Oryzias latipes: one gene and its partners. The protein of the gene in region 3 interacts with the protein of the main gene of each other region in a biochemical or structural test. Links are inferred from orthologs where the notes say so. Each region holds a gene or a part of one and is shown on either strand. Other genes may lie near its edges.

What was found. The genes of interacting proteins can lie anywhere in the genome.
Region 1: of the proteins of cdk2 (region 3) and rbl1, one has a biochemical effect on the other in vitro, tested with the Homo sapiens proteins (5 studies listed by BioGRID, with this or other methods). The link is inferred for Oryzias latipes from reciprocal best matches to the Homo sapiens genes CDK2 and RBL1.
Region 2: the proteins of cdk2 (region 3) and cyclin-dependent kinase inhibitor 1-like form a complex in vitro, tested with the Homo sapiens proteins (9 studies listed by BioGRID and IntAct, with this or other methods). The link is inferred for Oryzias latipes from reciprocal best matches to the Homo sapiens genes CDK2 and CDKN1A.

Annotation. Positions count from the first base shown.
Region 1 is NC_019863.2:32,783,014-32,791,028, forward strand, and holds the start of rbl1 (retinoblastoma-like protein 1), read right to left. Parts: upstream 6,680-8,015; 5' UTR 6,570-6,679; coding exon 6,408-6,569; intron 4,845-6,407; coding exon 4,711-4,844; intron 4,585-4,710; coding exon 4,381-4,584; intron 3,998-4,380; coding exon 3,933-3,997; intron 3,713-3,932; coding exon 3,584-3,712; intron 3,333-3,583; coding exon 3,169-3,332; intron 3,069-3,168; coding exon 3,004-3,068; intron 2,929-3,003; coding exon 2,772-2,928; intron 2,238-2,771; coding exon 2,071-2,237; intron 1,981-2,070; coding exon 1,868-1,980; intron 1,780-1,867; coding exon 1,676-1,779; intron 1,611-1,675; coding exon 1,473-1,610; intron 1,362-1,472; coding exon 1,197-1,361; intron 870-1,196; coding exon 737-869; intron 665-736; coding exon 431-664; intron 334-430; coding exon 143-333; intron 71-142; coding exon 1-70. UniProt on the Homo sapiens protein: Key regulator of entry into cell division. Directly involved in heterochromatin formation by maintaining overall chromatin structure and, in particular, that of constitutive heterochromatin by stabilizing histone methylation.
Region 2 is NC_019863.2:2,304,899-2,311,613, reverse strand, and holds cyclin-dependent kinase inhibitor 1-like, read left to right. Parts: upstream 1-1,355; 5' UTR 1,356-1,359; coding exon of another isoform or gene 1,360-1,368; coding exon 1,369-1,783; intron 1,784-2,235; coding exon 2,236-2,291; 3' UTR 2,292-2,336; downstream 2,337-6,715. Other genes in the region: tmcc2 (transmembrane and coiled-coil domains protein 2), read left to right, coding at 6,077-6,079. UniProt on the Homo sapiens protein: Plays an important role in controlling cell cycle progression and DNA damage-induced G2 arrest. Involved in p53/TP53 mediated inhibition of cellular proliferation in response to DNA damage.
Region 3 is NC_019863.2:27,089,944-27,101,941, reverse strand, and holds cdk2 (cyclin-dependent kinase 2), read left to right. Parts: upstream 1-5,350; 5' UTR 5,351-5,669; coding exon 5,670-5,785; intron 5,786-6,369; coding exon 6,370-6,447; intron 6,448-6,544; coding exon 6,545-6,665; intron 6,666-6,742; coding exon 6,743-6,913; intron 6,914-7,173; coding exon 7,174-7,275; intron 7,276-7,355; coding exon 7,356-7,559; intron 7,560-8,783; coding exon 8,784-8,888; 3' UTR 8,889-9,469; downstream 9,470-11,998. Other genes in the region: olfml3 (olfactomedin-like protein 3), read right to left, coding at 11,136-11,920. UniProt on the Homo sapiens protein: Serine/threonine-protein kinase involved in the control of the cell cycle; essential for meiosis, but dispensable for mitosis. Phosphorylates CABLES1, CTNNB1, CDK2AP2, ERCC6, NBN, USP37, p53/TP53, NPM1, CDK7, RB1, BRCA2, MYC, NPAT, EZH2.

The DNA.
Region 1 (8,015 bases), about 5.7 Mb from region 3:
CCCGCAGCTCCGAGGAGACGTCCAGCTTCATGCACAGGTCCCTGAGCCGCACGCTGGCCAGGTGGTACACCTGCAGACACCACGCCGTTCTGCAGCAGATCCTCTGGGCTGAACGTGAACAGAGAACTGGTGGGTTCCTCACCTTCCTGAAGAACAGGGCGAGCGATCCCGTGCGCCGCGGCCGGCCGCTTCCCGTGTACGGCTCGGTCGTCATGGCAACAGCGGCGGCGGGTCGGCTCGGGGACGACGTCAGCAGGAACTGGGCGGTCACCACTCCGGAGGAATCGCAGGAAGACACGGGGATGAGGGTGAAGGTGCGGTCGGTGCTCATGCCTGCGGGTTGAACGTCACACCTTCAGCTCGGGCTGCTCTCATGCCTCAGACTCCTCCCACTTTCCTCCCATTCAGTGTCCAGGTGAGAAATGATCACCTTGCAGTGGGAGACTCACGACCGTCGTCTGAGCTCCTTGGCCACCGATCTTGAGCGTTGTGCTGCCGCTTGAGCTGAAGGTCAGTTTCTTGGCTGGGGAGGGCAGCGGCCCCGCGGGGGAGGTCAGGCCCACAGACGGAGCCGGAGGGTCGTCGCCAAAGAGACGCCGCTTGGCGCTCCCGGCCGCCGGGGAGCTGTACCTGTCGTGAACCGACAGCGGAGAGGGGGGCACCTCTGAAAGGGCAGAGGAAGCAAAGTCGGTGCTTGAACCGCAGCATCCTGCACAGACGTGGAGCAGACACCCACCTTTCCGCGCGCTCCCCAAACCGGCCCTGAACTCCCGGATGCGGGGGTGGATGATGGGGGAGTGGGCCGCCAGCGGCAGGTGAGGCTGAATGCCGTTAGAGGAACCCGAGTCCAGACAGGAGGAGAAGTTGACCTGTTGGAGGAGACGAGGAGACTGCTGCCAGGTGTGTCGTCAGGTGACTTAAAGAAAAACCTGGATTCCCAGAATCCTCTGCTCTAACCGTCAGATGTTTGAAGTTCATAATCTTCACGCAGACAAAATAAAACAATCCAAAGTTTTTATTTTGTCCACATGAAGGTCTACAATAATCCAGACCTTTTCATGACTCAGCAGAATTGCTGAGACAAACTCTGGAGAGCAGGAAGATGAAAGCAGGCTTCACATGTAGACCTCAGTAAACCTGACAGACCCTAAATGACCTTCAATGACCTTCACCTTGGTCAGCACCGTCACACTGACCTCCTCCACGGAGGGAACTTCGTTCCCTGCAGCCTTCAGGGCGCTCCACAGCGCAGAATCTTCGGTCCACGCTCTGCTCTCCAGAACCTGCTCCTCAATGGAGTTCAGGTGCTTCACCATGTCTCTGGACAGGCCCTCCTCAGAGCGGATGAACACCTCGATCACCTGCACACACAGCCCCAGAGACCGCCGTTCTCCTTAAACCAGCTGACTCATGGTTCAGCAGAGGAAAACCCAAGTGGATCTAAAAGATCTCCAGCGGAGCAGCGTCTCTACCTTAAAGAAGTAAAACGGGGCCAGTTTGAAGACGTCGATGATCCACGGGAACGTCCTCTGCGAGCTGTAGGAGAACAGCACCACCTCCAGGCAGCACGCCATCAGCGAGCAGTGAAAGATGTCCTGCTCCAGCAGAGCCTGCAGTCACAGCACTGTCAGATCAGGCCGCCGCGTTTCCCGCCATCCGGCGCCGCGCCACTTACGCTCATGTCTCTGCCCTGCAGCCGCTTGGTCTCCTGCACCAGAACGTTCTCCAGAACCTTGTAGTAGAGGATCTCAGCCAGCTTCAGGCGGTTCTCTGCAAAGTCTGAAGCAAACGCGACGAACATCGTCACTCTTCCCGGACTAAACCTGAACGGATGAAGCTGAGGCAGCTTCTGAGCAGAACCGGATACCTATGTGAGAACCCGGGGTGTCCTCCGAGTCGTTGGTGTAATGTTCCTTGAAGGTCTGACCCAGAGTCTTCACTCGGGCCAGAACGGAACCAGTGGGATCCCTGGAGCAGGTTCTGCAGGGCAAACGGAGGAACCGGGACACAAACGGAGAAATTTTTCATATGAACTTCCTCTCAGCAGCGCGTGCCAAGACAAACACCCACCTGAAGATCTGCATCAGGTTTTCGCTGGGGGCCGTCCTCAAACCCGCCACCATGCTCTGCAGCCGGCTGACGCTCTGCGTCGCCGAGGAGACGGGAGTGACGAGCAGGTCCTTCTCCTTCAGGTAGCCCCGCCCCGTCAGCGGGGTGGATGGAGCGAGGGAGGCGGGCTGCAGAGAATGAAAGAAGGTCCATCAGGTGGTCTGCAGAGCCCCGCTCCGACAGACACAAACATGCTGCTGCAGTCAGAGGCTGGACTTCATCGTCATAGAAACGCTGGCGCTGGTATTTCCTCCAGAGGTAACTGGAGGTCAAACCTCCTGAAGGTCTGCCGAATGGCCTGCTTCCAGCACCGAGGCGGGAAATGGTGGAGCAGCTTCATGATTTGACGTTTGTTGGGAAAATGAAAGCAAAGCTACACAAAGGATGAGCAGCAGCAGCAGAGGGGAACGGCGCATTTCTCTGCTGTCCTGACCCCATCAACCGTTTGGACGTTTTCACGGCGTGGTGGAGCAGAGGGGTCAAACCCGCCTGGTTCTGCGTCTGACCACAGGCCGCCATATGGCGGGTTTGACCCATGATGGATTTGAGACAGGACAGGAGTTTCTAGTCTTCCTCGTGGGTGCGGTGCGAGCCCCTTCCTCACAGGACGACCACGTCAAAGCGACTTTGGCGACGACTTGGCGGCGTTTGCGAGGACGCACCTTCTCCCTGTGTTGCTGCATCTGACCGGCAGAGCGATCTGGAAGGACCTTCCTCGGCGTTCCGATTTCCTCGTCTGCGTCGGCTCCCAGGAAGACGCGCTCATCGAAGTCCCCCACCGTCAGCACGTACTCCTCATACTCCCTGTTGACGGCTTTGCTGTGGAAACGGGCAGAACGCAGCGGTGAGGAGCCGCCGGCGGAAGAACCGCGTCAGAATCCAGAGCGTCCGTACTTGTTATCTATGAAGTTCTGAGGGTCCAGCATTTCCGTCAGCAGCTCCTGGTTTCCCCTCAAGATCTGAAAGGATGCAAAGAAAACGGAAGCATCAGAAGTTGTGCAATCCAAGGATGTAATGGAAAGACTGGGGGGGCCACAGGTGAGGAGACAGGGTGCACACCTGTCTCTGGAAGAGCTTCTGGATGTACGGTCTGAAGTAGTGCTGCCTGATGCCTTTGGCTTCCACCACCAGCCCATCGTGGAGCTCACACAACCTCTCCAGCACGCAGGGAGGGGGCTCGTCAGGCACCACGTGGCAGTCTGCGCGGTACTGGGGGGGCAGACCTGAGGAGACCCAAACACGGGAAGAGTTTGACGGTTGCTGGTGCAACCCCCTGAAGGCCCCCGCTTCCCCGTGAGGCCATGAAGCCGCACAGCGAGGAACGGTGGTTTGAAGCCCGCCGTGGCTTCCATGGAGCTGCTTTCTCCAACGCACATCACTCCCATCAACGTGATCATGTGTGTGTGTGTGTTGGGGGGAGTTTATGCGTGTTTGCATGTGAACAGAAAAGGTGGCAGAAGCGGAGCGGACCGACCTCTGAAGGTCGGGTTGATGAGGTCCTTCCTGTTTGCACACAGCAGAGCGTTTCCAAACACCAAGTCCAGACAGCAGAGCAGCAGGTGGTACGAGTTCACCAGGTCATCGCCGATCATTCGGAAGTTTCCTGGAAAAAAAGACATTGAAGTCTGTGCATAAACATCTGCAACCAGTACATTCCAGCGTCTGAGGACAAACTATGGATTTCAACCTGCAAACACAGAAATACTTTCTGCGTTTGTCCCTAAATGGCGTTCGCCACATCTCTTCCTTCAGCTCTGGATGTTTTCTACAGCTCAAGCAAACCCAGAGGGTTCAGGAAGGTCGTCCGGCTTGTTTCTCGGTACCTTTGGTGTAGACAAAGAGGGTCCAGCAGAACTTGAAGACATCACTGATGTGACAGGGCAGCCGTCTGCAGACACACAGGAGCAGATCCTAAAGCCCAGAACATTCCGGAAAACTCCACATCTGCTGAAAGCTGCTGTCGGTGCAAACATGCAGCAGCGTCTCTGACGTGGAGGTCAGAGTTCAAGCTGTGTCTGCAGTAGAGATGGAGCTGCAACGGATCCCAACACTCACGGTTTGGATCATGTCTCAGATCAGTAAAAAGGATGAAACATCAAGACAAAAGCCTAAAATGTATTTGTTTTTGTCAAAACCTTTGCTCGGGTTTTATTTGAACTCAAGATATTCCAACAAGACGCAATGCACCATGTGTGTATGTGTGTATATATAGTATACTGTGGACATGTATATAGTATACACCGTCATGCCTGAGGCGCGCCGGCGTCCCACCTGTGCTTCCTGCTGCGGGGCTGCCGGGGGGGCTCGCTGCCCTGTGGGTTCTGGAACATGTCCATGAAGATGGGCTCGAACTTGCGGAAGATCACGGTGGACACCTCAAAGTTTCGCTCCAGCCGGTCCATCCTCAGCCGGAAGTCTTGTGACAGGTTTGACATGTCGGCCCACTTCCTCATCTTAGAGAAGAACTGGATCAGGCTGGGAGGGGGGCCGACAACAAACGGGACCAAACATGAAGACGCAAATCCCAAAGTTGCACAGGCGGATCCCGTTTGACCGGGACTGGCTGTAAAATCCAGCAGAAGCTGCAGAGCAGAACCTGACCTGAGCTTGGAGCAGCGCAGGATCCGGGTCAGGGACACACAGTTGCCCTCCATCAGCCCCTTCCCCACAGTGGGGGTGGACCCCTTCCTGCAGGCGGCGTACAGAGAACAGGCCAGCCAGTGGACCACCTCCCCCTGCAGGAACACAACGGCACATTTCTGCATCGTCCAGCTCTGCCCACCCACCGGTGCCCGAGTGCCCTTGGGCCTGTTAGCGTCTGGCATGGCAGCTGTGCCTCCATTGGTGCGTGAATGAAATGATTGGTAAAGGTTCAGGTTCTTCTGAACAAAACCCTGTGCTAAACCCTCAGGAACAGCTAGTAGATGAAACATGAACACGTTCAGCATTCAGTCACATTTCAGTAAAATACTGCGTTTTATTTCATTCTTTTCATTTTGCTCAAAATAGACTTTACATCTTTAACCATATGAATTCATAATGAGGTGTAACAGCTGTTTTATGGAGACAACAACAGAGATAAACGATTTCCTAACGTTCACTCGTCTAGTTAAAATAACGCATCAACATAAAATCCAGTTATTACAACTAAATGTACAACATTTGGATCCGTTTGGAACCAAATATGCTACAAAAATGCTGAATTTATTCACCAGAGTGACGTCATTTTTCTACATTTAAAGAAACATTGAATCATGTGAAGAATTTCAGGCATCTCCATCTTCAACGCCATCGTGTTAAACAGCAGCAGGAGCGCACAGAACAAATCCACCATCTCAACCCTGAGATCAAACAAATCCATAAAAAATCATCAAATAAAAACAACTAAACTCATTTCCTCCAAATGGCCCATTCACTGTAACCTTTTCCTGTTTTTAAATATTTTTATTATTTGTATTTATTTAAATTGCTGTTTTAACTGTTTATTATATTTTATATAAGTACATATGATGTACAGCAACCTTGAGTGCTCAGAAAGGCGCCATCTAAATAAAATGTGTGATTATTATTACTGTATATTAATCAAAGAGCTAAAACAAATCTAGTAAAGTTTTGGACGTTTCTGTTCTTTGGGTCACTTTTCTAGACAGCAACAGATAAATGAACAGAGTCCCTTTTAAAGCCACATCAAATCAAAAATCCAGATATTAGACGCCTTTGATTACAAATCCTCCTTTATGCAGGTGAGTCGTGCTGTGTTCACTGCCCTGTTCAATCAGTAGGAATTTATAATTCTCTTTACGCCCCTCAAATACTGTTTTCTTGCTAATATTTTCTTAGTTTTTGCTAAAAAAATAAGGACTTCATATTTAAAAATTCAGTGCATCCACCTCCATGTTGTAGATAATAAATACACCTTCCGTTTATTGCCATCTATTTATTGCCATTAGTTACCAGGTAAACCTAAAGACGAGGCTCCTCTTCCCGTCACCTGCAGCATCTCGCTGTGACGTTGATTCAACAACGGACGTAAACAACAATCCTATGACTCAAATCAACACCTGGATGTTTTAACTCAGTCTCACAAATAAGCCTCATTTCAGTGTTTCTGTGTGTAAACACAAAAATCTCCGGTAAGCTTCAGGAAAACTCACGTCACAGCATCATGTATTAATGTATATCATGACCGGAGGTCGCAGAGCAGAAGCGCTCGTTGGCTCATAGCGGGTCAGTCTACAGCGCCCCCGGGAGACTCTAACCCCCCCCCGAACCGAACCGAACCGAAGCCAGTCGTTTACCTCCAGAGTGTATGTGTTCCATATGGAGGTGAAGTTGTCCATGGCCTCACTGGCTGTCTGCTCGTCCATGTTGAGCTCCTGACACAGCACCTCCAAACTCCTCCGGACCGAACTCTCCTCCATCCTCCCCGACTCAGAATCCGAAGACTCCTCCCCTCTCATCCACAGAACCAGCGCTGCCCGTCCGCGCAGCTCGAATCCGACCCACAGAACCAAACAACGGCGGAGCCGAGCTCTCACCACAACAACACGGTTCCCGTCGCTTCCGCTAACAGCTCCCAGCATGCAGTGCGGTGGCGCGAAAACTTTACCCTTCTGACCAATCAGAGGCGAGAAACCTACGCCCCCCTCTCCCCCTTTCTTATGTACCGGATGTCAACTTTTTTTTCTAAAACTTTATAAAAAACAAAAGCACGAACACATTGAAGGCAAAAACTTCTCTGGCCACTAGGAGGCAGGGACATTAGTTATCATTATCGGTTATTATTACTGGTTATTATTATTGTTAATTATTATTGGTTATTATTATCGGTTATTATTATTGGTTATTATTATTGTTAATTATTATTGGTTATTATTATCGGTTATTATTATTGGTTATTATTATTGGTTCTTACTACTGGTTGTTATTATTGGTTACTACAATTGGTCATTATTATTTGTTATTTTTATCGGTTATTATTATTGGTTATTATTATTGTTAATTATTATTGGTTATTATTATCGGTTATTATTATTGGTTATTATTATTAGTAATTATTATTGGTAATTATTATTGGTTATTATTATTAGTAATTATTATTGGTTATTATTATTGTTAATTATTATTGGTTATTATTATCGGTTATTATTATTGGTTATTATTATTAGTAATTATTATTGGTAATTATTATTGGTTATTATTATTAGTAATTATTATTGGTAATTATTATTGGTTATTATTATTGGTAGTTACTATTGGTTATTACTCCCTCCCTACATTTGTTCCTTAATCACAAGGAGAAGTGTGGAATCTCACTCCTCTGATCCTTAGACGGTTGTTTCTGTTCCATTTGCTGCACAGAGCTGGGAAAAAGCCTTAGTCCACTCTGCTCCTCCTGCTTGGAAAATGCTGCAGAAAGACTGGAAACTAACTGAACTGGTATCTTTAAATGTTTTTAAGAACAAGCTCAAAGCATCAGAGACTGAAACAATAATGTGCAACTGCTTCTCATGATGTATGTGGTTTTAATGATGTTTGTTTTTATGTATTTTTTTGTATTGAAATGTGCCTCTGGACCAAGACTCCCTTGAAAAAAAGATCTTGTCTCAATAGGACTACCTGGTAGAATAAAGGTAAAGTAAAAACCTCTGGAAAAGTAATAATAAAAAGAAACATTCAAAAATCACAATTTAAGCATTTATAGCTCAAACCTAGATATTTTGTTCAAGTGGAAATACAAATTTAAACAGCATAAAACGATGGACTAAAAACGAATGGGGACATTTAGTTTCTGGGATTTTTCCTACATGGTCTGGCTGCTTTAGACAGTTAAATATAATTCATCATAACAAACAAGTTATTGAACATTTAATTAGCAAAATGTTACAAAAACAGAGTAACAAGAA
Region 2 (6,715 bases), about 25 Mb from region 3:
AAATCAACCTATTTCACATTTTCACAAATCAGAGGAAGGTTTCACAAATCAGAAACTGTGTTTAATGTATTCTTCAGTATCTAAATCATAATTTAATCCAGGTTTGAGCAGTCTAGGTCCAGCAGTTTTTGAACCGGACCCCATCTAAGGAGATCTTAGTGCAAAAAAAACAGTGGAATGCTCCTTTAGTGCACTCGCGAATCGGAAGCTGTGAATCGGATGCTAACTTCAGCGTCGTTGATCCAACATTCTGGTTATATGAATTAAAAAAGTTTCCTGGTAACTTATTAAATCAAAAAAAAGTTTTCCAGAAGTCCTATCTAGGGTGTTTTGATGCGCGCGCGCGTCCTCCGCGTGAGTACGGCGGTGACAGCCCCGTTTGAATGGGGGACACGTGCTCCAGGTTCACGTGGAGCCTCGTAGTAACCGAACGGGGCTGGTCCAAACCCGGATTCATACTCTCCCGCCATGGCCTGAACGCCCGCCCCGATGGGAGTCGGCCGCGCCCCCAGTGACCCCGCCCCGAAGAGACAACAGAAGCTTTATGTCGGTCTATGACGTCATGAAAAGTCTGGGTTACTCTGCTAGATCACCGTTCCAGCCTCAATGGAAGAATCAAAACATTCAAAAATAAGATATTTAATGTCAATATCCATCAGTCTGAGCTTTAAGAACAGCGGGATTATAATGTGGAGAAACCTAAATATTAATTTAAACATTATCACTAAAGAACTGGAAATAGTTTTAAACCAGATAAAGGAAAATATTCATATTTTTGGTATAAATTGTTTTCTAAAGTGTTTTTTAAAACAAAAAAAAAACAGGAACAACCATTTTTAATTTATGTATTATAATAAAATCATATCTAACAAGCTGCTGGGGGTTTGTTTGCTGTCTATCCTCATTTTCTGCTCTCTTTAAAAAAAAAACAACAAGCTTTACTGTGGACTATTTTGTCCTCCTGGATAACCAGCCTGGCCTGGGATGGACTTCCTTTTTTCCTAAAAAGGAAAATGTCCTGTTCAGGGTGATGCGGTCTGTCATGCAGACTGAGGTGGAAGGACACCTCTGGTGGTGGATCTGTCATTGCCACTCTGCCCCCTAGTGGCGGCTCTGTGTTGTCGGCCTGTCAGATTATGTCCAGGCATGTACCGATGATTCAGCCTCTCCTAAGAGGGAGGGAGGAGAGGAGAGGCACAGCTCTGCTTTTCTCTGATGGTCTGTAGAGTGAACAGTCATGGTGAGCTCGGAACTTTTTACACTTTGGGTTTTTCTTTGACTCTTTTACTGCTTTACATGATCCATCTCATCATCATATGACATCTGAGATCTAACCAGGAGTGTTCTGTGTTCAAACAGTGCAGAACCATGGCTGCTCCAAAGCGGATTCCCGCCGCTCCCAGGAGGCCCGCGAGGCGAAACCTGTTTGGCCCGGTGGACCGGGAGCAGCTTCAGCTGGAGTACCAGGCCGCCCTGCGGAAAGACCTGGACGAAGCGTCCCTTCGCTGGGGCTTCGACTTCCGCTCCGACAAGCCCCTGGAGGGCAGCCACTTCCTGTGGGAGAGCGTCCCGGGGGCCGGAGTGCCGCTGCTGTACCGCTGTCAGGATGCTGGACGGGTCCAGAAGACGGCGGAGACCAGGACCCCCCCCAAGAGACGAAGATCTGAGCTGCCGCAGAGGGAGAAGGAGAACATCCCACTGACAGAGAACATCTTCAACGTGGAGAAAACACCAGAGAAGGAGGAGAAGGCCGGGATGAAGAGGAAACAGACAAACATCACAGGTGCTTTCATTTGTTTTGAATCGTGTTCTTATGACGCTTTATTGACGATGGAGGACATTTATAAAGAAAAGCTTAGTATTTAATTGTTCAAAGCAGATAAAAAATGTTAGAAAAAGAGAGTATCTGCATTCATTTACAGACAAATAGGTCCAAAAAACTTTTTTAGTCCCTCGTCTGAGCTAGAAGAGTAATGTGAGGGGCTGTAAGCCAGCTAGAGAGGGTACAAATAGATGGATAATGGGAGGTAGGGGCGGGGTTACTCTGAGCTAATGCCCCGCCCACATCTCAGAGGTGACGACAAGATTATTTCATTTTGGCTAAAAAAGGCATAATCGTAATCAAAAGACGACAGGGAAGGCTTTTCTCAAAATATGATGGGAGTGGAACGTTCAGCTGCGTCTGTGTCGTTGCACCGATTCCCCCTGAGCTCAGTGTCGCTTTCATCCCTGCAGATTTCTACCAAGCTAAACGACGAATGGTCTGGATGCCGCGGAAATCGGGCGAGTGACGGAGGAGCGCACACGCCACGCCCCACTCAGAAGCCACGCCCTCCGCAGGAGTCCGTACCTGTGAACTCGGGAGGGGTTCAGCTACATTTCACTGCTCAGTTAATTAGGCTACTGTATGTGGGGGGGGATCGGTGCCTTTCCCTGGGCTAAGAAGGGGACATTTGAGCAGAGAAGATTAACGGTAATCCACGGAATCAGTGGATTTATCCTCATTTGGATCAAGCGGTTGCCAAAGTGATGACAGACATTTTCGCCGCTGTACATTCCACATCTCGGCTCCCACCCACAGGAGAGGAGGAAGATGTACAGCATGTGTTAAAATCACAATGTCCCCCCTTTTTTTATGCTGAAGTGAAGAGTTTTATATGAACTATTGGGAAAAAGAGATTCAACGTCTCCAAGTCTAGAGACGCTCTGCTTCCATCACGAACCACAAACCTGCATTTCCCTTCATGTCCTGTCTCTTATTCGTCAAATTCATCTGCTGCTCTGTCCTGACGTGTGAATGGCTCTGGATTATGAATGTTCAGTGTGTAGCAATTTATCTCTTTGGAGCATTAACCCCTTGTGCTATGTTGTTGGGTCAAAATGACCCCACCCTTACATTGACGTGTTATCCCTACCATGAGAAATGTAGATAAAGGTGGAGAGGATTTCATGTAAACATTGAAAAAAAAGGTTCAGCTCACTGTCTTGTGGGGTCCAGATGACCCCACTTCCAACTGGGGTCACCTGGACCCCACAAGACGGTGAGCTGTACAAGCCAATATGTCTAGTAGGGTCCAGATGACCCCACTCCCAACGTTAACGTGCTCCCAAGGCATGTTAACGTTGGGAGTGGGGTCATCTGGACCCTACTAGATAGCACAAGGGTTATAGATATATATTCAGCATATATCAGATGTATTTGAGTAGTATAAATCTAAAAACATTGCAGTATTGCACAGAAGTTGTACTTGTAGGTATTTTAAGGTGCGTAAAGGACGATCAGGAACAGTATTTTCAGGTCCAAATGTATTCGTGAGGAAGGTTTTTCCATCAGGAGCAAAGGTGTCATGGATGGAACTACTGCTCTCCGCTTGTAAACGACATATCTGTCCAGCAAATCCTGCTGCTCCGCCTAATCTGGATGAGAGTCATGTAAGGTCACTTTAATCATGTATGAACTGACGGCTTCGAAAAGAGCAAACCTGCCCCAATGCACTTCTGCTGATGCTTCTGGTCATGCGATCACTTTTCAGCTCCTCAGGAGTCGACTCTTATTTATTGTGTTATTCATCGTGTTTGTGTGGATCCGTGATAAATCTGAAATAAAAGGCTGATGGTTTTTCTGGATCCTAACTCAATCCAAGGAGAGGAAGAGGTGATGAAGCGCTGAAGGAGTTTTATCTGTGTTTTTCTACACACACCTTTATTTTCTTCAACACAATTGTTGGGTTATTCGTGCTGGGAGTTGAGGTAATAAACAACACGGCAGGAGTGGGTTGATGATCTCAAAGCAGCTGTGACCACAGTCACCAAGAAAACCATTGGTGATACTTCTTGCTGCAATCCTGATTATAGTTAAACAAGTAAAAGAAAGAGACAAAGAGCAGAGAGGAGGCGTAAAAACAGTGAATGGAGATCCGTCCTCGCCCCCTCCAGCAGATCAACTGCAGCCTTCTCTCTGTTGGCTTTACTTTGCATTTTATGGCAATCTGCTTTAGTGTTATATGTCTGTTCTGGAGGAAATTCCCAATATGTTCTGCAGGTACAATAGAGGACAATCTGTCATCTGTAGATTTATTTGAACAGTGAGAGATAGAAAATCACAAAGCACATCAAACAAACGTATATACATTTATTTAGATTTCATCAAGGGACTCCAGTGTTTGATCCCCTAGCAACCATTAAGAGTTCTGGTTCACACAGACCAGTTAGACTCTCCTCTTCAACCTGTCACCTGAATTGAAGACGCCTGTAGAAAAGACACCTGTCCAGAGTCCATCAGACATGGAAAAGACTAAAGAGTTTTCATTGGATCTAAGGGAGAAGATTGTAGAACTGATGGACAACAAAACCATCAGCAAGAAGCTGGGGGTTACCATGACAATTGTTGGTGCAATTCTGCCAAAACACAAGAACATAATCATCAGTGGACCTTTAGGTCTGGGGCTCCAAACCAGATCTGTCCTGGTGGAAACGGTTTCCATGATCATGAGAACAGAGAGAAATTGGCCTAAAACAACACGGCAGGAGTGGGCTGATGATCTGAAAGCAGCTGTGACCACAGTCACCAAGAAAACCATTGGTGATACTTTATGCTGCAATGGTTTGACATCTAGTAGAGAGTGCTAAGTCCCCCTGCTGAGGAAGGCAGATGTGCCGGCCCACCTGAAGTGTGTCAGGGAACACCTTAATGACTGGACAGTGATTGGAAGAAGGTGCTGTGGTCAGATTAGACCAAACAACGAGCTCTTTGGCATCTACCGACTCAAGCCGTCTTGTTTGGAGGAAGAGAAATGCTGCCTTTGACCCCAAGAACACCATCCCCACTGTCAAGCATGGAGGTGGAAGCATTATGCTGTGGGGAGCTTTTTCTGCACAGGGCAACTTCCCCGTGTGGATGGGAGGATGTGCTTACCTCCAAATGTGTGGTGGATGGGTGGCTCTTAACAGGACCTTGACCCAAAACATACAGCCAAGACAACCAAGGCTGAAGAAGCAGATCGTGGTCATGGAGCGGTCCAGCCAGTCTCTGGACCTCAGTCCTGTAGAAAACCTGTGGAGAGAACTGAAGCTCAGCTTTGCCAAGCAACAGCCACCAAATCGGAATGATTTAGAAGACATTTGAATCGGTTAGTTCAAAAGGGGCCCAAGTCCACAATTTTTCAAAATAGACAACAAGACCGGCAACACTTCTTTCCTCCACTGTAGGTCTTCAGTTTTTGGTTTGTTGCTGGGCAGCAGATTTTTCTGGAGCCTCCCTGACAGCTTCAGCGCTTCTCCCACGCTCCTCTGCTGCACCTGAAAGAGGAGGAACCTGAGCTTCTCTGGACCGGAGCTGCTTTTGAAGGTGTTGATGAAAGCTTGCTTTCATGTGCGCTCAGCCTCCATCCTCCTGCACACATGCACACACACACACACACACACCCACACACACACACACACACACACACACACACACACACTGACATCTTCAGAGGACACTCCAACAAGTTCTCAGTGGTGGCGCCTCCTCCTTCATCTTCTGTGATGAGCACACAAGAAAAGGGAGGTGGTCACTGTGTGTGTGTGTGTGTGTGTTGGCATCAGTCACACAGGCTGTTTGCACTCAAGGTGCAGGCCTGGAGCCACCCTCCCTCCCTCCCTCTGCTGAGCCTCCCCCCACCTCCTTCTGTCCATTCCCTCCATCATCTGTCCTGCTGCTCCCTCATCCATTACAGGGCAGAACTGCTCCCATTTGCGCAGACAGAGAGATGCGGAGGGAGAGCGGGGCGGAGGGTGAAGCAGAGGGAGGCGGCAGGAGGAGGAGGAGGGGGGGGTGGTCGTACGACACAAAGGAGAGGGAGGAAAACAGACGAGCGCAGAGGGAGCAGGCTGTGGATGCTGATGTCGTTAACGATGGAGCGTTAGAATCCGGAGCGGTGATGGCGCGCGCGATAGCTGCTGGGAGCAGACTCATTTGAGGAGGGGGGCTGCTCCTTGGTGTGCAAAGAGGGAGGAGGGAGAGAGGAGGAGGAGGAGGAGGATGGGCCTCGAACAGACACTTGCAATGTCGCTGCAAAAATTGGATTAAAGCAGTATGGTAACGTTTCTGATTGAATATTTTGTTGTCGTCGCTGTGCTGCGTGTGTGTCGTCCTCGTGCGTCCACATCCACGCGTGTTGACATCCATCTCTCGTGTCACAGTGTGTCTCCAGGAAGCCACAGACAGACCACGTCCTGTTGTTTTCTGCCATCTCCATCTTCATCTCAGCTCGGCTCTCCTCCGCCGCGCCGTCCGTGTGCTTTTACACTACAAACTTCAGGCATGTTATGACACCCACCCCCCACCCCCCAGCTCTGTGTTTGGTATCTGGGCCAATGCTGACACCCCCCCCCCCCCCTACTGTCCCATGCTGCAAGCCTCATCTTAGCTTCTCACTTTCCCTCCCAAGATCAGGACGGGACTAATCTGCGCGCGCGGCGCTCATCTGGAATCTGCCCCGACACCATTCTAACCCGCTTTGAAGAGCCAACGCGCGCGTGCTCGCTCCTCTCACACAGGCGCGCAGCTCCAGCGCAAAAATAGACGTGTCGGTGTCATGCGTCCGCTGGCGCGCTCCAGCTCTGAGGCGTCAGATTGCGGTGTGTTGGCTTCAGGCGGGGGAGTCAAACCAGACCCCCCCCCCCCCCCCCATGCAGCTGCACCCAGCATTCAGAGCAGGGAATCCCCCACATG
Region 3 (11,998 bases):
GCCAAGCTTGAAAAAAATGGCGTTCCCCTGTTGCTCGTACATTTTTTACCAGAATATTGTGAAAATTGTTGGCTCAAGCTGAATGAAACAATATGACATCCAATACGAATATATTAGGGATGTGGGAGTGGCTAACAGAAAACCTCTGTTGCCACGGAAATCCAAAAATTTACTTTTGCCGAATCTTCAAAAAATTACTTAGACCTGTTCCTCACCCTCAGGCAACCCAAAATTATAATGGTTGCTATGGAGATTTAACCAACAGAAAAGTTGCCATTTTGAAAAAAAGTTGTGTTTTTCTTAAAGGAATTTATCCTGTGGAGCTCTGTAACCAGGGTGGCAGAGGCAGACGAGGAGAGGCAGCCACTAAACAAAATGGGCTAATGGGGGAGTAGCAAAGGCAGAGTGGGTAGCGCTTGCGGGCCATACAATGGCGTTCGCAGCTTTGATTTTAAATTTAGTTCATTTTGTGCAATGAAGTGATTTACATTTTTATGAATCCAATGAAACCCAATGAGATGCTATTTTTCAAATGTCATTGTGTAAAAAGCTAAATATCCAGTCAAGATATCAGATCACGTAAATGTGACAGAAACAAATATGAATGAAAAAACTGAATTTTAGAAACTTCACTTAAATATTGCAAAACACAATAAATAATCATTGCACAATATAAATGAAAGTGTTATGCAAAAAAGCACAGAATAGTGAGTAAAGCTGAGCATGAGCTCTGACCTTACAGCTATGTGTGCATGGGTATCACAAGATTAGTGTGTGGACACGCATTCAATAGCATCCTTTTATTTCCTCCGTCATTCCTCCGTATCCCGATGTTCACCTCGGGCGGCTGCAGCTCAGACAATCTGAAGGGAAGGAGACTCACACCCATGCTTACATTGGCCTCAGGCAATCAACTTCTGATTCAGAGGAAGTAAAGTCTGTGGTTAAAAAACGAAAACTTTATTTTAAAAAAAAACTTTCAATGTCTGTTTAATATAAAAAATATATATTATTTGGACAGGTTAGCGAAAATAATTAATGTTAATCTGTTATGCAGTCCCATCAGGTGAGAATCTGCGTCTAATGAAACATACAGGACAAATCTTCGGTGTCGGTCATAATTATGGCTTTTCTATTTCATTTGGCCAAAAAATAAAAAAATAAAAATCCATGTGTATTTTGTAAAGCCTAAAAATAGAAGCAACCTTTCAGATATTTGTTTTAAAATAATTTAAGTTTGTGGCTTTGCTTCTATACCGTACTACATTGAACTAACACAAATCAGTAAACTGTGAGTAAACCGCTCACTTTTTTTAAATTGAGGGTTAATTCAGGTTAAAACAATGGTTGCAACAAAGTGATTAATATTATTTTATTTTTATGTGAATCTCAGCAAAAGACCACAAGAATATGTAAATGTTTTTTTTAGAAAGAAATGTACCCAGTGAAGAATTAGCTGACTTAAAGAATCCAGAAGATTTAACTTAACAAAACTATTTCCATAAAAAAAGTGGACACCTGCATACTTAGCCTAAATACTTAATTTATATATAATTAATATTCAGAAAGTAACTCCATTCCTGCAGATAAGGACAGCATCATGATCAATGAAACCCAGTTGGGTAATATTTTAAAGTCTAAACTGGATGAAATCAACAGTTTTTATTAATAAATAATACATGTCCATTTTTTAAAACATTCCCAGTAGTGTTTTAATTCTGATTATGAAGTTTTTAACCAAAATCCCACAACCTAAATGTCTTCAAAAGCAACATTTCATGATTAAAAAATCTGAACTCTGACAACTCAACTTTGAGAATGTGACGTTTTCAGTGACGGCGGGCAGAATACACACCCAATAGCTGAGTATTTGAGGGACCCAATATGGTTACTTCTCCTAAACTTAACTTTATGACTGATGTACTTTTATCTAGCGACAACTTAATTATAATTTCCTGTTTTTAGCGACTGAATGATGCACTTTTTATGTATTATTTATTATTTCTGTTGTTGTCATTTTTAGCATGGCAAATTGGTTCAATATATGAATGTTGCACTGACCAAATACCACTTTTAAGATATCATTGTACCAGTGAGAATGACAATAAAGAACTATCTAGCTATAAACTGGGACAAACACTTGACAACAGGTAAATACAAACCTGCTGTTCTTTTCTTTTTCAAGAAAAAATTAAGTCATCTTAGCTTTATTTAAATATTAAAATTAGTGAAAAAGATTTTGATCTAATCTGTTGTTTTGTAAAGATCTGTTTATTATTATTATTTTTTTGCATTTTCTCCTTAAATCTACTTGATTCCATTTGAAAAAAACAGATACTGACGCCCTTGTCTTTGGTGAAAGGACATTTCTGGGCTCTCTTATCACAGGGACTGGTGATTTTCCCACTGATGTAGTCCTGTGCATGTGAGGCTGCACTGCATGTGACCCCTCATGTGCTCACAAACCCAGTTCAGGAGGAAACAAATCCTCACTAAAGTGCACTTGATTTAACATACCACAAATACTCAGCTATTACACTCTTTCTTAAACAGTTTACCTCTTTTCTAACAAGCAATCGTCCAGTATTATGAGACTTTTCACTGATATGTTGAATAAATCAGAATAATGTTGGGGAACAGATGAAATAACAGCGATTCATAAGACTGTACATTCTATGGAGATCAAAGGCAAAAGCAGAGTTGGGTCAGAAATGTTTGCATCAAATCACGTCTGACCAAAGTGAGGAACAGTTTCATCCCTATGCAGCCCCAATAACTACCGTTATGCTGAGTGAGGCAGCAAACGACCAGACCCACCAAGGCTGGAAACTGAACAGTACTGGGAGAAAGAGACAGCACATAACAGCAATGCCCAAGGGCTGGTCCCTTTAAGAAGGGAACATAGCAACCTGCCTGAACTGAATCAAGTAACCATCACAGTGGCAAAAATCCAAGAAAGAGTCTCAAATACGAAGAACTAGACAGCACTGGGCCTTGACATGATACATGTCTACTGCCTAAAGAAACTCCATGAGCGCCAGGGAGGACAAATGAACCGGCCGCTAAGAGATGGGATTCACCCCGAATGGCTAACGGAAGGGCAAACGATCCTGATCCAGAAGGGTCCCTCAAAGGGTGCAGTACCATCCAAATACCAGCCAATAACCTGTCTCTCCACAACATGGAAGCTCTCTCTTTCTCTCTCTCACTATGTATATATATATATATATATATATATATATATATATATATATATATATATATATATATATATATATATATATACATACATACACATACACACATACACACACACACTATATATATGGTTTAACCTATATTTTGGTTTGCATCTTTGTTAATCTTATTTTTTATTGCTTGAAGTAAAATGTTCAGATTTATGATAAATCTTAACAAGAAAATTCTGTCACCGGATTATCAGCAGTGCTCATCTGTCATTCCTGCGACAACTTTCCATGAACTGGGAGGTCTATAAATTAACTTCCCACAGTTAACACAACATGATGATGCAGAATAATTTTCCAACAAACCACTGAATGCACTTCAGAGCAAACACTAAAGGCAGTTTATTACTTTTTTATACAATAGAAGCAGCCTTCTAGTTATACCCAAATATGTCGCTTTGCACATAAATCTGATGGGGGGGGGGGGGGGGGTATTTCAGGCCTGTGGGCTTCAATCATGTGGATTATTGGTATGAATGCTTGTTATGTTCCACCAAACTCTGAGGATGTTTCAACATAAAGAGGGGGGGAAAAAACAGCTGACCTATAGATATTAGGGCTATATGTTTGATATGAAGGACCCAAGCCAAACAGACAAAGGACAGAATGCTTGTTCTGTTCTGTCTTTCTGGATCCAAATGATAGATAATTTATGCTGAACTGTTGACGTCTTTGTGATATCACTGCACTGAATGGTATAACGGGAGCAGTGTATGCGTGTTGTGTATACACAGTTCTGAAAAATAAATGAAAAATAAAAAATACATAAATTCCAGTGTTTCATCTGAATTAGAACCACGTTACTGCAGAGGGCTACTTATGTAATTCAATAATTTATACCAACATAAAAGTGATTACTTGACAATGATATTTCAATTTCGATCTCTTCAAATACATATATATATATATATATTTATATATATATATATTACAATGAATACAAATAGAAAAGTTGAACAAAGGAAAAACTTTTTTTTCTTTTTGTTAGTGTAAAATTTGGTTTACAAAAGTAGAAAATTAATAATATTTTCTAACATACTTTTCTTATCCTGTGGCAAAGATAGTCCATTGGAGTCTATACTTTAAGTTTACTTTTTATACACTATATATTGAAGACATAAAATGTAATAATTTATTCTGAGAAGTATTCTGTTAGTATACTTCCTGTACTGCATGTACATGGAGTATAGTAGGCGTACATTTGCTGTAATTATACTTAGGTATACTTAAGAAGTAAACTTTAGGTGTACAAGTGTACTACTTTTTTGCCAAAAAGTTGTCAGGAGTGGTTATAATCTTTTGGGATTTCAGTTTTATCTCACTAACAAAAAACAGTGTGAATGTGTTTGACAAGGAAATGCTGCACTAACAAAGAAACTAATAAAACACTTAAAAAGGTTTTGTCTCAATTGAAACTTTGAAGTCTTTTTATTTTTATTTTGACTGTTTATGCTTTTTTTAAAAAACTTTTATGTATTATTACTTTTGTTGATTCATTTATTGAATTATGTGTTTATTTTTTTTATTTTGTTTATTTTATTATTATTTATTTCATTTTATTATTATTATTATTATTATTTTTTTGTTATTCAACCTCATGGCAACTTCAATAATTTGCACTTGGTGTGAAATTCTGTATGTGCAATGTTTGTCAATAAAGTTATTAAAATTAAAAAAAAATAATCTCCGTCTTTGATTTTTGTTTTTTAACTGATGGTTAAATTGGAATATAAATGCATTTATGAAAATGTATACATTGATAAAAAAAAATGTTCCAAAAATACACATTATTTGTGGGCGTTAAACTTTTTTCCCTTCATATTTAACCGCTTTTACGTAGCTTTCTGGTTCCTTTACGCCGTAGACCATGTGACCAAAGAGTGCGGCTTGTTTATTATTCCGTTATACGCCGGAAGACGAGGAACTCATTTCTCCAATTACACCAGTTCGCAATAAAATCATTGGATTAAATACAATAAACATAGCGGTCTACCTTCACCAGTGCCATATATCAGGACTGACTTTAATTACTGCTAAATTCAAGAAAAGGGAAAATAATAAATTGCTTCTGCTCTGAACGGTACGGTGTGTCTCGAGCACAAAAACGAACGCCCGCAACACAACGCGGGAAACGCCGTTGTGTTGTTTTCCACCGCGGAGCAACCACCGGGCTAATCCTCAATTTAGGGGTTAGTGTTACTACCTGACAGATGTTCACCTGTCCGTTTTTGTGTGCCGCTCTCTGACCGGAGAGAGTTTGTCCTCGAACGGGACCCCTTGGTTTGGTTGTAGCCTGGACCGCATGACGAAACCCGGAGAAGCGGGTAATTGTAGGTCGGTCCCCGCGCTGCTTAATGCTTGTAGCCTCCGAGAAGACGTTAGCTCCGAAACAAAGAAAGAGGTCCGGTCCGATTCTGGTGGGAAATGGATACGTTTCAGAAAGTGGAAAAGATCGGAGAAGGGACGTATGGAGTGGTTTACAAAGCTAAAAACAAACTGACCGGAGAAACGGTTGCGCTGAAGAAAATCCGACTGGATACGTAAGTGAAAAGTTCTTCTTCCTGCTGGTTGAAACCTCTGAGAAGCGTTTGTTGTGATTCAGATTATCTCAAATGCTTAATTCCAGTCCCCTCATGAAACAGTTTCATTAATTACAGAAAAGACAAAACATTTTAAATTCACTCTATGTACAAAGACCTAAAAAATAAAAGTAAATAATAATACAAAGTTGAAACAAAACTGACATGTTACAAAATAAAAGCATTCAGCTCTTGTTTGGTTGGTTTCACTGTCAAATTAAACCTACTCAGTTACATTTAAAATCTATTCACCATCTGTTTTATTCATCTCTATTTGCCTTTGGGGGTAATGGAACACTAAACACAATTAGTCAATAAATTGATCAAAAGTGATGATTACAAATTCATGTGCATTTGTCCATAAAGTTTTGGAAAAGCATCATAAACACAACAAATTGCTTTAATTTAAAATGATTCTTAATCAAAATGAATTATTGTGCAATAACTAGGAAAATTGTATTCAATTTATCAATGGGACAAAGGAAGCATTTAACTTCATAAAACAATCTCCGCTGATCCTTAAATTTGTGATTTCTTTAATCCAGAGAAACAGAGGGCGTACCAAGCACAGCGATTCGAGAAATTTCACTTCTTAAAGAACTCAGTCATCCAAATATTGTCAAGTAAGTGTTTAACCATGCAGAAATATGTTTATTTTGTTCAAAAGAATCCCATTTTGTGTGATTTTATGTTTTAAACCAACTTTTTTTTTTTGTCCAGGTTGCAGGATGTGATTCACACAGAAAACAAACTCTATCTGGTTTTTGAGTTCCTCCATCAGGACCTCAAAAAATTCATGGACTCTTCCTCTGTGACTGGCATCCCGCTGGCTTTGGTGAAGGTGAGCGTCCTCTTTAAAGAGAAGATCCTGAAACTGTCCAGACCTGATTCCTTGTTCTTACTGTCTTGTGTTTCTAGAGTTATCTCTTCCAGTTGCTGCAAGGCCTGGCTTTCTGCCACTCTCACAGAGTTCTTCATCGGGACCTGAAGCCCCAAAACCTCCTCATCAACGCCCAGGGTGAGATCAAACTGGCAGACTTCGGTCTGGCGAGAGCTTTTGGAGTGCCGGTCCGCACCTACACTCATGAGGTACAGTGTGCTCCTCCCTTTCTTCATCTGTAACAAGGTACGAATCGATCTGATAACAGCTGATTTTGTTTTTCTAATGTGGTTCAGGGATTTTTAGTGCTGGATAGTGAGAAAATGTTTATTTTAAAGGATAAAATCCCAAAATATGTATTTTCTTAGCTTTGCTCTTTCAAAATCTGATTCAGACCTTTTCTTGTCTTGTATCAGGTTCACATAATAAAACATTAGAGTCGTTCTTGATTCTTTGTGGTATCTTTCAGGTGGTAACACTTTGGTACAGAGCCCCAGAAATCCTCCTCGGCTGCAAATACTACTCCACAGCTGTCGATGTCTGGAGTTTGGGGTGCATCTTCGCTGAAATGGTAACGCGCTCGACCCCAAGACCAACTTCAATAAAGAATTAGGAGCACGCTGATAATAAACTGATGGTCTGTGTTCACAGATCACCAGGAGGGCTTTGTTTCCCGGAGACTCTGAGATCGATCAGTTATTCAGGATCTTTCGCACGCTGGGCACACCTGACGAAACGGCGTGGCCCGGAGTCACATCCATGCCCGACTACAAGCCCTCCTTCCCCAAATGGGCTCGTCAGGATTTATCCAAAGTGGTTCCGCTTCTAGACGAAGATGGAAGAGAGTTGCTCGGAGTGAGATTTTCTTCTGATTGCTACATGTTTTACTCTTTTCCTGTTAAATATCTGCAAACGCGTTAATTAAGAGTAATTGTTTTTATGTGTAGAGTTTAGAAAGGATGACAAATTCTCTTATGCAAATTATAACTTTTTCTGTCTACTGAAAAAAAAAAAACAATATTTTAAACGCAGCTCAGAAATATTGACTTGAAAAAACCTTTTCAAATTTTTTGTTTGCCTTTCTAGGATGGTGCCCTTTCAGCTTTTTTTCCTACTTTCCATTTTTCTCTAATAATTTATCTTTAAAATAGTTTTTGTGGTAATGCTTGACATTTGTTTTTTAGTACAACCGCGGCTTCTCTCTGTCTCTCTTTTTTTTTAGCAGAATATTTTTAATTATATCCCAATAATTTCACAATGAAACTTTACAAAAACTCAATTTCAGGTTTTAAATTTACTAATTTGTATTACCGGTAACTAAAAAAATTTGAGAACAAACAGTTTTTATGTTTTATTACAACGATCCAAAGGCGTACAAAATAAATGAAAAAATAAATACAAAAGTAAGGTAAAGATGATATTAAAACAGTGCAAAAAACGTGTGAAAATAACAAACAAAACAAAAACACACAGACCCCCCACTCAACTTGTAGGATTTATTTCAAGAGTTATCACATAACTTGCGGTCGGTGTCATTAGTACAGTTAACAACCAATGTGATGGGTTAACCCACGGGTGACTAAGCCTTACCACCAACGTACCTGGTGTGAAAAATTGACCCTTTTTAAAAAATATGACAAATAATATGATTTCTTCCAGGCTTCTTCTTCCATTATAAATGTCACATTTGTCAGGTCTCCTTTGAAAAAGAGGTTCCTGGTAAAATAAAGGTTAAATTAAATTTAAAAAAAGCAATTCTCCAAACTCGTTTGATCACTGCACACTTGGTGTATCTCAACCTCTGACCTGGTGCTTGTAAAATAACTGTCATGTAAGAAGGACCTTAAATTTGTCTCGACTTTACTGCCAGGCATGAAAAAAAATTCTTTTATATAAATATAAACTGCTTATTGCTGTTAAATTGATGATAAAGTTGTTTTTGGTCCTGAAAAGGTTGAATTGTTTGGCGTTGATGTTCATTATATTTGATAAGCTTGTCTTGTAAAGAATTGATTCATGTATAAAGTGTTTAAGATCACTACTTCAAAGCATGAAAAAACATTATTTCTTTCTCTCCAGGAAATGCTGAAATATGACCCAAACAAAAGGCTTTCTGCAAAAAATGCACTTGTACATCGCTTTTTCCGAGACGTGACCATGCCCGTGCCTAACCTCCGACTGTGAGGCATATCTGCACGCCACGCCGGAATTAAGTCTGAGCAATAAAGGCCGCCTTGCTCCACCACTTACCCGTCTGAAATGGAAGTTAGACGATGCAGGAGACGGTGGATTATTGAGTAACGTGTTGCTGTTATTTAATCTGCATTGTTGTAATCTATGTGGGGGTTCAACTGTAATTTTCATGATTCGTTCTTGACTACGTACATGTAGCTGGATCGGGATTCAGGATTCATTTGGTAAAAGCTGTTGCTCTACATCTCTAAATTCCAATCCCATCTTGTGTTAAGGATGTTCAAGTTTTCTGTTGGGCAGAGTTAAAAATGACTGAACAAAGTGGGGGGGGGGGGGGGGGGGGATGCAAATAACTAAGGTGTTTTGAACACCCGAACACAGAAATGAGCTTCTGAAGGATCCTGGATCGCTCCCCAAACTCAAGTTCCGATGTACAAACATTCTGTTATTTGAATTTTTATGAAACTGAATGCTTGTGGATCTTAAGTGAGATTTTATCAGTGCCTAAATAGCATTTTTATAGATATTGTTTATATGCAGTTTGGAAAAAAAATAAACTGGTTTAAGTAAAAGTTTCTGGTGAAATGTGTTTTCTGTGGAAACGTTTAATTTTTTTATTATGAGAAGACTCTGCAGAATCTTACCCTTTGAATTTGCAGCCAAACATGACATTATAAAAAAAACAGTATCACTGTAAACAGATTAGTTCTTCCTAAACCTTGAAGAATCACACAAGAATAAAGAAAGACCAGTAAAGCACAAACAGAAATGGAATTAATGCTGCTGTTCTTTATTCACTAAAATAAGACATTTAGACAGGAAGTGTGTGGTTGCTAGCCTGCTAGCAGTTTTTGCACAAAACATGAGATTCTTTATTCATTTTATTTTAACTTAATAAAAAAGCAGAATTTTAAAAAACTACACTTTTAATACGCATCCGTTAAAAATGATATATGTACAATCTTTGACTTCAAAATGTGTGTAATGTTCATTAGATCACTTAATTCTGAATGAACATGTTATAAATACATGTAAATGTTTGTTACATGCCTGAAAACAGCTGTAGAAATAATTCAAAAAGTATCATTAAAAATGTGTAATTTGGAGTAGAAATAAACATGTTTTGTTGTCTGAGCAAAGTCGGAAAGACCTTTTGTTTTGAACAAAAACTTATTGAAAGGACAAAATACAACTAAATACATTTAGTTTTTAAAATATGGTCTTCTGATTTAGCCATTTGACTGGAATCATAGATTTTATTTCTGTTCCATGCATGCCATGCTCCTGCAACATCTTGGTCATTCAGCCTCTGGATGCATTTTGGGGGGGGTCTTTTTATTGGCATTCTCTTGGATTCAAAGGCCGGTTTGCACAACCACATGCATATATGTGGAAAAAGTGAAAAAAGTTGTGGACTTTACCTGAAGGTCTTTATCAAAAATGAACAGCGTTGAAACACGGAAGAAGAACGAATAAATCACGCAAAGAACACGTAAATCAAGGACGAACAAGAACCGTGCGTGATTATTGCGCTGTTAAATGCAATTCATTAGTGATTCGTGCGTCAATTATGTAATTTGAACGTGATATCTGTGTTGTATACGCAACATAAAAGTTATTCGTCGGTGGTACAAGTGTGAAATGGCCACTAATTTGGGTATGCATCTAGCAAAAATTATGCACAACTGTGCAAGATTCATGCAATAGTTGTGCATAAACTACGTCAAATACGGATAAATGGCATAATTCTCAACTGACCAAAAGTTTTAAACAGCTCAAAACTGAATTCACGTCAAGACCCGTCGGTCGAAACCCTCGACAGACATCTGTTTGCATCGACAAATGAGGAATAAAAGAAACACTTATGAATTACATATAAAAGGAAGAACAACCTTTTTTTTGTTGCACGCGTCAGAGAAATGACAGTTCTTGCTCCCCAAGAAAGCTGAATGTAACTTCAGTGACATTTATGGCGTGAAAAAAACATCTTGGAGGAGCCGAAACTGGCAACACATGGAATTGTAAATATTCAGTCATTCTATTCTCTTGCTTTATGACACAGGAAAAAAAAATCCAACATTCACTACAGAGTATGAAAAAACATACAGAGAATTCACAGAGGTTTTTGTAAATGAGAAAAATTCCAGAAAAGACCTGGAAACATCAACAATTCTGATGTCAGAAATAGTCAGCAGATTGAAAAACTGTCAAGACTCCGACACGGTTCAATTCGATGCCTCAAATTTCCAGTTTCTTTTTCATGGCCAGCTTATAGAGGATCTGGTAGCCGTCATCCCAGGCGTAGAGCAGCTGCTCCTGCGGGTTGTACTTCAGACTGGAGTGGGAGCCGTACCGCTTTGGAAAGTAAATCAGAGGGGCCTCCTCTGCGGTCACCATGTCATTGACGTCAAACACGCACTGCACCCGTGAACGCCCCGGCTGCATGGTGTTGTACACCACGTAGAGGGTGCCGCATATAACAAAAGCCGCCTCTGCGTTCTCTCTTGGACAGCTTGTGTCCCACATTTGCTCGACGCCCAGAGAGTTGGCGTCCATTTTAGCTAAAGAGATGTGCTTCTCGTTCTGGCGCGTGGCATAGATGGCCCACAGGCCTTCTTCATCCACAGCCAGGTCCATCAGGGTCTCGGAGGTCAGGCCGTACACGGGAACATGGTCCTGCAGCGGAAACACTGCACTGTCTGTCACAGAGTTATTTCTCGCGTCAAATTTGACCACCGTTATCTCCTCCGCCTGGCTTACATAATACACTTGGTTGTTGTGGACCACGTGTCCTGTTCCACTCCAGGGACTCGGGAGCTTCAGGTCAGAGGACAGAGAAAAGCCCTGGGAGAGCGTTAGGTCTTGCACAGAGGCAAACACGTTGACAGTGTCCTCAGCTGTCCCGTTGAAGATGTAGACTTTCTTGGAAGCCCCGCTGGTGTCTCTGGTCCACATTCCCTTTGGACCACCGACTCGCTTCAGGATCTTCATGGCCTTTATGCTGGAGATCATGTCGCTACAGTCTGGGGATGAGAGAGGGGCTTATATGACATGTTAACCAAAGAGTTCATCTTTTTTGTTGTTGATTTTTCAGGTTTTAT